4 linked regions of the Saccharomyces cerevisiae S288C genome follow. The main gene of each other region encodes a partner of the protein of the gene in region 2 in a complex. Each region holds a gene or a part of one and is shown on either strand. Other genes may lie near its edges.

What was found.
Region 1: MRPL20 (region 2) and MRPL38 share a complex: the UniProt entries of both Saccharomyces cerevisiae proteins name them as parts of the mitochondrial large ribosomal subunit.
Region 3: MRPL20 (region 2) and MRPL50 share a complex: the UniProt entries of both Saccharomyces cerevisiae proteins name them as parts of the mitochondrial large ribosomal subunit.
Region 4: MRPL20 (region 2) and MRPL35 share a complex: the UniProt entries of both Saccharomyces cerevisiae proteins name them as parts of the mitochondrial large ribosomal subunit.

What each region holds. Positions count from the first base shown.
Region 1 is NC_001143.9:129,038-131,564, reverse strand, and holds MRPL38 (mitochondrial 54S ribosomal protein uL14m MRPL38), read right to left. Parts: upstream 932-2,527; coding exon 515-931; downstream 1-514. Other genes in the region: putative serine/threonine protein kinase KKQ8, read left to right, coding at 1-277; protein kinase NNK1, read right to left, coding at 1,304-2,527. UniProt on the Saccharomyces cerevisiae protein: Component of the mitochondrial ribosome (mitoribosome), a dedicated translation machinery responsible for the synthesis of mitochondrial genome-encoded proteins, including at least some of the essential transmembrane subunits of the mitochondrial respiratory chain.
Region 2 is NC_001143.9:598,521-601,562, forward strand, and holds MRPL20 (mitochondrial 54S ribosomal protein mL58 MRPL20), read right to left. Parts: upstream 1,162-3,042; coding exon 574-1,161; downstream 1-573. Other genes in the region: ribosome dissociation factor GTPase HBS1, read right to left, coding at 1-370; DEAH-box RNA helicase PRP16, read left to right, coding at 1,337-3,042. UniProt on the Saccharomyces cerevisiae protein: Component of the mitochondrial ribosome (mitoribosome), a dedicated translation machinery responsible for the synthesis of mitochondrial genome-encoded proteins, including at least some of the essential transmembrane subunits of the mitochondrial respiratory chain.
Region 3 is NC_001146.8:669,235-671,810, forward strand, and holds MRPL50 (mitochondrial 54S ribosomal protein bL9m MRPL50), read right to left. Parts: upstream 960-2,576; coding exon 540-959; downstream 1-539. Other genes in the region: YNR021W (uncharacterized protein), read left to right, coding at 1-357; SNF12 (Snf12p), read left to right, coding at 1,184-2,576. UniProt on the Saccharomyces cerevisiae protein: Component of the mitochondrial ribosome (mitoribosome), a dedicated translation machinery responsible for the synthesis of mitochondrial genome-encoded proteins, including at least some of the essential transmembrane subunits of the mitochondrial respiratory chain.
Region 4 is NC_001136.10:1,108,784-1,112,216, reverse strand, and holds MRPL35 (mitochondrial 54S ribosomal protein mL38 MRPL35), read right to left. Parts: upstream 1,629-3,433; coding exon 525-1,628; downstream 1-524. Other genes in the region: TIM11 (F1F0 ATP synthase subunit e), read left to right, coding at 1-214; asparaginase ASP1, read right to left, coding at 2,370-3,433. UniProt on the Saccharomyces cerevisiae protein: Component of the mitochondrial ribosome (mitoribosome), a dedicated translation machinery responsible for the synthesis of mitochondrial genome-encoded proteins, including at least some of the essential transmembrane subunits of the mitochondrial respiratory chain.

The sequences.
Region 1 (2,527 bases), 470 kb from region 2:
TTATATAACAATGATATTGGGGCATTATCTTTGGAAAGTAGCTTCGAGAGAAAAAGATATGTCTTATGATGAATTTTACAAGGAAATGCAGCGTAAAAACCAGTTTAGGGTATTCGAAGAATTAAAGCACGTAAACTCAGAGTTGGCCACAAATAGAAAAATCGCATTATATCGCATCTTTCAATGGGAACCAAGAAAAAGGATTTCTGTTGGCAAACTTTTAGATATGCAGTGGATGAAAAGTACGAATTGCTGCCTAATATATGATTCCACATAAATATCTTGTATACAATATTCACGGCATGCAATTATAGAATAAGACAAGAAAAAGAATACAACTCCAATGAGTAGAACGTCAGCAGCACGTTCATGCGTTTTCAAAGTTAAAGTCATACATTAAAATTTAAGCAATATATACAGGTGGTTAATTAAATAATGACGACAAAGCTCTTTTGCTGGTTTACAGTCCCTTGATTATAACGTTAATGAATGGAAAATGGGGGTACTTTTATTCTTATATGACCCTACTTGCCAAAGAGCATATCTTATTGTATCCCTTGTCTTTCAGTGTTCTATCTACACAACCATCATTAGCCATAATTCTTGTCCCCAGAGGTTCACCGGTATTTTTATTAATCAAAACGCAAGCAGTATCTCCGAATGCAACGGTGGAGCCATCCTTTCTGCACATGTTACGCTGTTTAGACCTTACGACAATTGCGTGACAAATATCACCTTTTTTGACACGGTTGGTGTTGGCTGTCCCCGTAATGTTTTGAGTCAAGGGCTTTGCTTTCTGTATAACACAGACTATTCTGTCTCCAACCATTGCAGGACTCTTGGGGGACCCTTTCCTTATTACTTTAATACATTCTGCTAATTGTGCACCTGAATTGTCGATTACCTTGATGACAGATTTTAGAAATATCATGTTGTGATGTTAGAAAATATGGCTTATCCAGATCTCAAAGGGTTGACGACACACCGTTCTACAAATCCGCTATGCCAATATCCACGCTTCACAATTTATCCGAACTCTTCTATAGGTCCCTTTTCTTCCATCCGTCATTTAGCAACATGATTTAAGGCTGTTCAAAAAAATATTCTGAGTTTTCGCACGTTGCACGAGTCGCAATGAATAGCGCCAAATAAGTGATAGAGGCATCAAATATGCGATAAAAATACTTATTTACATATTTCGTAATAGTAATTATGAAGTTCGTTATAATTTATAAAATGGGAGAAAAAAAAGTAAGCACAATGTATGTATTTTTTCAATGCAATCAATATCATTAATCATAAGTCATGAGCCATTATTATCGTGAATGGCCTCGCTTAGGTTCATTTCGTTTTGAAGGACTTCTTCAATCCTTTTCAATTTCCACCTCTTATCCAAGTCAATCGTCAAACATCCAATGACTGTGTCATACAAGCCTTGACCAATCGTTCCTTCATTTTTTTTCCTGTCAAATTTACAGACCTGAGCTAAAGAAAATCGGTCAAATTCGCCTACTTTAATCAGAGAGCGTAACCTAGGTTCGAACTCATGATTAAAGGGTAATTTTCCTACTAACATTGTATATAGCATTACTCCCAAGGCCCAAATATCGGATGCTGGTCCTAAAGGAGAAACAATACATGGAAAATCAGTCGATGAACCAGACGGTGAACTTGTAGTTACACCGGAATTCGTGACTGCGGACGCCTTTGTAGAGGATGATAGAGAAGATAAATTAGAGGAAGATGATGATGCTGCGCTAATTTCCGATTGAGAGGAGTCTGGTGAATCATAAATATGCATTTCAACTGATTTTGAACGTCTTGCATCTGAGTATCTTAGAAGTTCTGGCGAAGCGTAAGGCAGAGATCCGATATATTTAGAAGGTTCGGGTTCCAGGTTTGAAAAATCGGTTGTCTTGTGCCTCCCATGAAAGGGACTCCGATGCTGTGGTTGAGGTTGAGAGGCTGGCTTGTGAAATAGATTAGAAGAAGAAGAAGAGGATGGTTGATTGAGATGCTTTAATGAATGTGAACTGGAGCTAACCATTCCTTTTGGTGTAAACGGTTGATGCTTTCGATTTTCAAATTGGTATTTTAAGTTTTCACTAGCGTCAAAATCATTAGTTCGGTCGTCAGGTAAAAAATTGGTTGTGGGATACTTTATCAAATTAGTTTGTTCAATACTTTTTCTCTTTCTATGGCTGTTGCCACTACTCAAGTTTTCATCAAAAGTATCGTTACGATAAACATGCTTCTCATCGAAGTGGCAACTCATTCCAAAATCGCATAGGAAAACCTTCCAATCCGATTTTTTACCTTCTTTTTGTAACAGACAGTTTTCTAATTTGATGTCACCATGAACAATCGTTTTGGAATGCATGTACTTTAATGCAGATAATAGTTGTAAGCTTAAAAAAATGGTCAATCTGCATCTCTCTGCAAATGGTATCTTCGAACGTTTGAATTCGTCCCAAGATATTACCAAGTCGTATAAGGTACCATCGTTAATTCTTTCCGTTAAACAATA
Region 2 (3,042 bases):
TTTCTTCCTCGTCAAGCCAGTCTGGAAGCCGATCATTTGGCCTTTGTTGCGAAATTGAGATGTTTGCCAGTTTTTGAGTAACATTCGCACTCCCATTAGCAGCAGCAATTGGCTTCTTTGGTGTCTTCTTCTTCTTCAAAGTTTTCTTCAATTCCGCCAGCGTGCTTTCCAAATCGAAATTGTTGTCAAACAAAGCTAGCTTAAGTGAAAGATTATCCCAGCCTTGGTAATCCTGTAACTGCGCCTTTAGAGTAGGAAATACCTCGTTCATTAGATCATATTCATCGTCATTCAAATAATCATCAAATTCACCTTCGTCGTGAAAGTCCGGCATGTCGTCTGCTCCATCGCTGTAGTCACTGTAAGCCATCTCGATAGTCAATAGTTGTCGAAGCAGAAGCCTTTGGGTGTCTCCAAGCTGTACTTAACTCTTTTTAAATTGCTTATTGGTTAGCTTTCATGTGGTATATTCAAGTCACATTAATGGGCGTCTCCGTGCATTGTGATCAATATATGAATACGAAGTACTTATAGAGTAGTATTTACACGATTGTTATTATATTTATATAGCATTCACGCCTGGTACCACAGGAGTTTTCTACGCTTACGGTCCTCTCTGGCTATACGCCTCTTCTCCTTCCAGCGTGATTGGATTTCTTGCAATCTACTTTCCATAATTTGTACATGTTGTTCACTAGGTTTCGAGACCATGGATACAAATAATGGCGAAATGCCATATTTTGCAGCCAAAAATTTGCGTGTATACTTTTGAGGATTGTCAAGACGTAACTTCCGGATCTCATCAATTTCTTGAGGTCCCAGATGATAGGTTTTGCCGTTCACTGTGCTCTTACCTACGAGAACATTTGGACACTGCTTCGCTTTAGTGCTTTGAACAGGCATGTCAAGCCCTCTACGAGGGTCACTGGCTGCCATAAAGCTACGTGGAATGGTCTCACTGTTAACAGATCCGGTTGCGATGGATTCTGATGGTTGATAGTACATTCCTGGAGCATCTCTGTGCTTTAAATACCCTTTATAGTTAGATGCGCTCTTAGTCTTGTTGTAAATCGTTGTCACTTGTGTTTTGGGAAATCCAAATTGCTTCCAGGCAGATCCAGCAGTGTGGAACGATCTGCAGCACACACCTCTGCCAATCATTCTTGTGCTATTTTACTTTGTCTTTAATTTTCCATTTTAACTTGTTGAAAGTATCTCTTTTTGCCCTCTTTTCTATTTTCTCAAATAATAAAAGCGGTGAAAGCTGAAAAATTCATGAGATGACTGCAGATGATAAAACACAAGAAGGCCCAAAGACAATACAAATACCTCTGGTATGGGTCATTCGGGGCGTGAGGAAAGGATAAAAGACATATTTAAGGAACTTACGTCAAAAGAACTAACGCCTGGGTTGCTTTTGACACTGCAGAAACTAGCGCAAAAGCCGAATACTAATCTAGAACAGTTTATTGCCAGCTGTAAAGCTTTGACGAAACTCAGCAGTAACAATCCAATCATTTTTAATGAACTTCTGGAGCTCCTCAAGAATAAATCTGAAGAGGACTCGACAGGCCCAAAGAAAATCGCCCCTTCTATAAATAAGAGAAAGAAATTTAAGATCCAGTTAGACCTTGACGATAATGAAGATGAGCTAGATTCTCCAGTTCAAAAAAAACCAGCACCTACACGGACGTTGTTCAAGAGAATAGATAAACTAAAGGCCAAACAGTTGAGGCAGTATTCGCCCACCGTGAAGGATCCTTCTCCAAATAGTGAACAGCAAACACAGAATGGTCATGCTGAAACGAAGGACTATGAACCGACTCGAAGCGAAGTAGTTGAGGAGGACAGAGAATGGTATGATAATGATGATGATTATGGAAATTTGGTGCCTGAACCTCTGTCTGAATTGCCTGAGGAAGCGAAACTACTACCTGTCATTAGGAATATCGACAACGATGATGCCTTACGAAATACCGTTCAATTATACCCCATACCACTCAAGCAAAGAATGGAATGGATCCCTCCTTTTTTATCAAAGTTTGCTCTTGAAAACAAAGTGCCCACTTCCATAATTATCGGGTCCATCTCTGAGACGTCCAGCCAAGTATCCGCTTTATCAATGGTGAATCCATTTAGGAATCCTGACAGTGAATTTTCTGCGAACGCCAAACGAGGTAGTAAGCTGGTTGCCTTGAGAAGGATAAACATGGAACATATTCAACAATCTCGAGACAACACCACTGTTTTGAACACTGCCATGGGGGAAGTACTAGGCTTGGAGAATAACAATAAAGCAAAAGATAAGAGCAACCAAAAGATTTGCGACGATACAGCTCTTTTCACGCCATCAAAAGATGACATTAAACATACTAAAGAGCAACTGCCTGTTTTCCGCTGCAGATCTCAATTGTTATCATTGATAAGAGAAAATCAAGTAGTGGTGATAATTGGTGAAACGGGCTCAGGTAAAACCACGCAACTTGCACAGTATTTATATGAAGAAGGATATGCCAACGATAGGGGGAAATCTATTGTTGTCACACAGCCGAGAAGAGTAGCAGCCATATCCGTTGCAAAAAGGGTTGCAATGGAAATGCAAGTTCCATTGGGTAAGGAAGTAGGCTATTCTATAAGGTTTGAAGATGTGACGGATTCTGAGTGTACAAAACTTAAGTTTGTAACGGATGGTATTCTACTCAGAGAGACCTTATTGGATGATACACTCGATAAATATTCGTGTGTTATTATTGATGAAGCTCATGAAAGGTCATTAAATACAGACATTTTACTAGGTTTTTTCAAGATTTTATTAGCACGTAGAAGAGATCTAAAACTCATAATCACTTCAGCAACAATGAATGCGAAGAAGTTCTCCGCATTTTTTGGTAATGCTCCTCAGTTCACAATTCCTGGAAGAACTTTCCCCGTACAGACCATATATACTTCCAACCCTGTTCAAGACTACGTAGAAGCTGCAGTTTCTCAGGCTGTGAAAATTCATTTAGCAAACGATTGTTCAAGCGGTGATATTCTCATTTT
Region 3 (2,576 bases), on a different chromosome or scaffold from region 2:
ATTCGTTGCGCTGTTCCCCAAAATGAGAATGAATTGAAGTTGTTAAACCAAATTATTTCCTTAGTCGTAGAAATCTACGATGGGTTCACTCAAGATTTAGTCCAACAGTCTCCAAACTTATTCATTACCAACGACATCTTGAAAAGAACTACCAACTTGCGTCAGCAAGAACTGAACAAGATCAAAAAGTTTATGAAAGAAACTGAATTGGAATTGGCAAAGGAGAAGAAATTAGAATTGGAAAAAGCCAAAAGACGTCAATTGAAGGCCTCTGGTCAACAAGAAAAGGTAGATCAAAAAATGAAAGAGAAAAGAGAAAGACGTCTCAAAAACAAGCAAAGAACAAGATTTCAGTAAGAACCACTTTGTTCTTCTTTCCTCCTTATAATTTTCTGAACCTCTTCAGTTTTTGTATACGAACGTTTTCCATGTATCCATACATTTAAATAGTAAGTATGTAAATTGGTATGTGGTGTTTTGAATTGCGATGTTGCCTATATACAAGATTGTACGCTATCTGAATACATACTCTTTACCAATCAAATGTCAAGACCGGGGATCTTAACCTCTTCGATAGTAATCCCAGAATCCAATAATCCCTTCTTTTCCTCTTTTGGCTTCTCTTCTTTCTTGTGGCCAAAAACAGATTCTTTACGTAACTCCATGTTCTTTTGAACTTCCGTTTCATGGCGTTTAGAGAGCTGTTGATGGTCTTCCTCTAGCTTTGCCTCAAGTGTTTGGTATTGTTTTAACAGTTCCGTATTTATGTCGTGTTCTTCGCTGAGTATGTATTTTGCACCATTGAAGTTATGTAAATAGTTTCTCATTAAAGATGGTTTGACATTTGCAACTTGTCCTTTATATAATTGAAATCGCGGGAAATCCTTCAGGACTTGAACCTTGACCCTGTGGGTTCTCTTTGTCAGAGCGCTCAGACACACCTGGGTGCAATGTAGCATCTTTGGTCGACCTGTTTCGTTCGTTATTTAGTTAGCCTTTTATATTCCTTACGGTATAACGTAACTTAACTGCCCTTTGAGTTTGCTTTTTCATCGGAAAGAACAAATGAACTAAAAACTTGCAATAATAAACAAAAAAAATACAAAATAACGTGGATGTATTAAACCAAAAACAAAATAAGACAACTCTAAAGCTGTCAAACAGAGATCTAACGGATTGAACCATGTCCAAAGTAATGAAACCCAGCAACGGAAAAGGTTCTAGAAAGAGTTCAAAAGCAGCCACACCTGATACTAAAAATTTCTTTCATGCAAAGAAAAAGGATCCGGTGAACCAAGATAAAGCAAATAATGCTTCTCAAATTACGCCAACAGTGCCACATTCTCATCCATCAGATATGGTTATCCCTGACCATTTAGCCGAATTGATTCCTGAGCTGTATTCTTTCCAACAACTGGTGGATTCCGAGAAAAGATTAGATCATTTTATTCATCTGCGAAACTTACATATGAAGCGAATGGTTGCGCAGTGGGAGAGGTCAAAGCTATCCCAAGAGTTTCTTTATCCTCATTTAAATTTTCCAAATGTAAAATTTCTCCGAATCTTCATTTCAAATGTTAGTGAAAACCAACCCTGGCAAATGGACACAAACAATGAGGCTGACCTTATGGCACTGGAGAATGCCACTTGGACGATGAGAATCGAAGGTCGATTATTGGACAATGTGCAAGCTAATGATCCAGCAAGAGAAAAATTTAGCTCATTCATAGAATCGATAGTGGTAGACTTCAAAAATAAGGAAAACGATAATGTGCCATCGACTAAATTTAATGCGGCCCCTGAAGAAAATGCCACCGAAGGACCCAGTGATAAGAAATTGAACTTAAACTTACCGTTACAATTTTCACTGCCGAATGGTGACAACTCTACTACGACTAATACCGACCAAAATAATGCCACGATGGGGGAGGAGACTGCCAAAAAGGATATGAGTTCTACAACTCCAAAACTAGAATCAGTGAAATGGCAGTATGACCCGAATAATCCTGTAGACTTCGATGGTCTCGATATTAAGAGGGTAGGGTCTGAAAATGTAGAATGCACTATAAGCATCCTGCGAAAATCATCCCCAGAAGAGCCATTTATGAGCTACTCTCCACAACTAACCGCAATAATAGGATTGAAGAGCGGTACATCACATGATGCAATATTTTCCATATATAAATACATCCATTTAAATGAATTGCTTACCAATGATGAGTCTGCATTCGAAAATTTGATGGGCAACAGGAACAATCACAATAGCAACACCAGTACTAGTAAGATGCTTGATGCAGCCTCCAGTCAAGTTTCTATTGTAAAATTAGACACTCAGCTTATTACCTTATTACCCAGCAGTCTTAAAGAATCTTCTCCAGATACAATGAAATTAACGGATTTACTGTCCCTTATTAATAGTACTCACCTGCTCCCATTACAGCCAATTGAAATTGATTACACAGTACGCGTTGATAAAGCTTCCACTTATGGTGAGTTGGTTCTTGATATTGAAGTACCTGATGTCAACGCTCTAAAATTCAATAATACACAAAGAGAAAGTCAAATTGGGGCTGCTG
Region 4 (3,433 bases), on a different chromosome or scaffold from region 2:
GAAGTGTAATGCTAAGAAGAAAGAGGAGCAGGCACAGTACGAGGAGAAATTGAAGCTGGTAGAGGAGGCAAAGAAGGAATACGCCAAGCTACACCCTGTAGTAACTCCTAAAGATGTGCCTGCGAACGCCTCATTTAATTTGGAAGATCCTAATATAGATTTTGAAAGAGTTATTCTTAACGCCGTTGAATCCCTGAAGGAAGCTTCAACATAAATAGAAGCTTCAACATAAATAGGATACTAAAAATGCACATTAGCTCGCACTGAATGACGAAGTTATGATGGATTCTCGTTCGCTAGATGTTCCATATTTTTTTCTTCATTCGTTAGTGCACAAACAATAAGGAAAAAAATGAAATGTATATATTCTAGAACATACTAATATCATACGTATCGTATTGTAAACAAAATTCACATTCCAAAAATTTTTCAGATTCTTACTTTATATTATTTGCATCAAGCTTTATTAACAATGACACGTTATTTTATATGTACAGGATACTATAATGTCATACTATTTAGGATCACCTTCTAACTCTGCTAAAAACCCTTCCAGGTGGTAGGCCATATTTTTCTCTGACGGCGGCGACTTTGGCATCCCATTCGCTTCTCCAGATATGTGCCCCAATAGCGGTTAGATTGTATTTCTTCGTAAATTGCCTGATATCAAAATCATCTCTACTTAGTTCCTTTCGGTCAATCTCTAACATGTTAGGACCTTGCTTATCCTCGATTAAGGGTTGTCTGAATACCCAAACAACGAATCTCTGTTTTCCAGCATTCTTTTCAGGTACCGGAGGTAAGTAGTCAGCGATAATATTAGAACTGTGGAACTTTCTTGGATCTATTAAATTGTCATTATAAGTCAAATTAATATTCACCAATCCGTAACACAAAGCCGTTTTAAATGAGTCATTACTCAAATCTGGAACATCAGGATTGACTATCAGTACCGTATACAATTGTTTTTCAACGTTCACAAGTTCATATTCTTGAATTTTGAAAATGGGACGCATGGATGTGACATTGGACGATAGAAATTCACCAGGTTCGATCCACTTATTTACACCAGTAGAGAAGGGAAATTTGATATTCACTTCTGCCCGTGGAACCAGAGTTGGAAGAGTATCAGGAATGGCAGCCAACGTTTCTAACCTTTGCATCAATAACATCTGGCCGTACGATTCCCAATGTTGTTTCCCCAAATGTCTGTACACTGGCACATCATAATCTATTATATCCTTAACATTGTTCAACTTGTTATTAAACTGAAAATTGTATTGTACCTCAGGATTATTGATCTCTGCTTTTATGAGAAGTGCATCCTTCTTCAAGGGATTTTTAGTCTTATTGGCCAACTCATAAAACTTACTGGATCTTTGCTCAAGAAAATCATAACTCATCCTGAAAATCTCATCAATGTGTTCTGGAGGTGAATATTTGATACGGTTACTTCTTCTGCTGATAGATGGTGGGTCTAGAGAAGCTTTCTTCTGGAAAAGGTAATTTTTCACTTTTGAAGATTGGATAGAAAGTGAACTAGGCCTTGTGGTAAAGTCCGACCAAATATGCGAAGTAGCATTAGGTTTTTGGAGGATTTTAGTGGTATGAATAGATCTTCGTAACATAGTTCGGCAGTGACCTTGATTTCTGTAAAGATCTCTGAATAAGCTTTTTGCTGTAGTCTGATATTGTATTGGATACTGTTGTCTTATCCCAGACCTTCCGGCTTCCGGTTTAGCCCGGAAAATTTGAAAAGACTGCGACAGTAAATCCCAAACACATAAGAAAATAAAAAAAGGAATACATAAACAAAAATGGATATATAAAGGCTAATTTTTTTTTGTTTATCAAATATTCCTTATTTTTTAACTTTCTTAAAAATATTTAAACACCAGATTTCGAAAAAAGTAATATTTATTCTTTAAAAATGCGGTGACCAGCGGGCGATGATAATCAAATATTTAAAAATGATATAATGATAAAACTTGAATTATTTTTATAGGAAAAGTGGAACCAAAAGATTTTCTAATGCACTGATATCATGAGCAGTTAATGAAAAATTATTAATATTATTTTTTTTATATTTTTATTCAAAAATAACATTCAAAATTTAATTTTAATAAACTCATTTAAAAAAAACCTCTAAAAACATGAAGATAGAACTATAATAACGGCTTCAGTATTCAAGACAAAGCCATGTGCAGGTGAAACGATAGAAAAGTGACATAGCCGAGACAATCTAAATGAAGAATTCCTGTACTCATCTCAGACTAGCATTAACAGGGACTTGCATAATTATATCTCTATCTCTGTGTCTATGTATATATATATATATATCGACACAAATGCAAAAAATTACAAAATTTTCACCCACCATAGACGCCAGTGAAAACATGTTTAATTTCTTCCAACGTGTAGTTACCTGCCAAACATAATTGTAACAAGATTCTGCTCTTTTCAGGGCTTAGATAACCAGATGCGATGAGATTATCCTCCTTTGAACCTTTCTTTGGTACGTTGGCAATAGGCACCATACCATCCATCGATCTCTTGGAATATACGATCGGCAAACTCAATTTCATGCAGGTTTCATTGACCTCCTCCGGCAATGAACCAGCACCCATGGTAGCAAGAACAATACCATCATACTTATCTGCCACTAAGTTGACTATAGCTGGCGGAAAGGCTTGGTGAGCATATAAAATGCAAACCTCTGGTAATTTAAAATGCTTACCGTCCACTCTCAGTTTGAATTTGTGGCAACCTTGCGGTTTCACAGGAGGATAATAGTAGTGAATTTCATTGTTGACAAAATTTCCTAAATAGCCTTGTCTAACATTAAAAGAATCCAAACTATTTGCATTCGTCTTAGTAATGTAGTAACCAGAGGAAATTTGGTCATTCAAGGAAACAAGAACACCTCTTCCTCTAGATTTTGGATTTGAAGCAATGCAAATTGCTTGGTAAAGGTTCATAGGGCCATCAGCAGAAACGCTGGTTGAAGGACGCATCGAACCAACAAAAACAATAGGAACGTCGCCAGCATCAATAGTACTTTCAATAAAGAATGCAGTTTCAGATAGCGTATCAGTCCCATGGGTAATAACTATACCGTCAAAAGCCTGCAACGATTCTGAGACGCCCTTATAAATTTTATAAAGAATATCCTCGTTTATGTCTTTAGAATCCACGTTGCATAGTTGCTCATATTCAATGTCACAGACCTTGGATATATCTGGAATGGCATCCAATAGATCTTGGATGGTCAGGTCAACATGATAGCCGGCAGTTTGAGAGGAGTCTATAGCTTTCGATGCAATAGTACCACCGGTACCCAAGATTTTGATTCTTGGTAAGCTACGTTGTTGGCAAGCGATGCCGCTGCCATTCACAGCGGCATTTTGAGACTTTAGAATCTCTGGAATAGTCT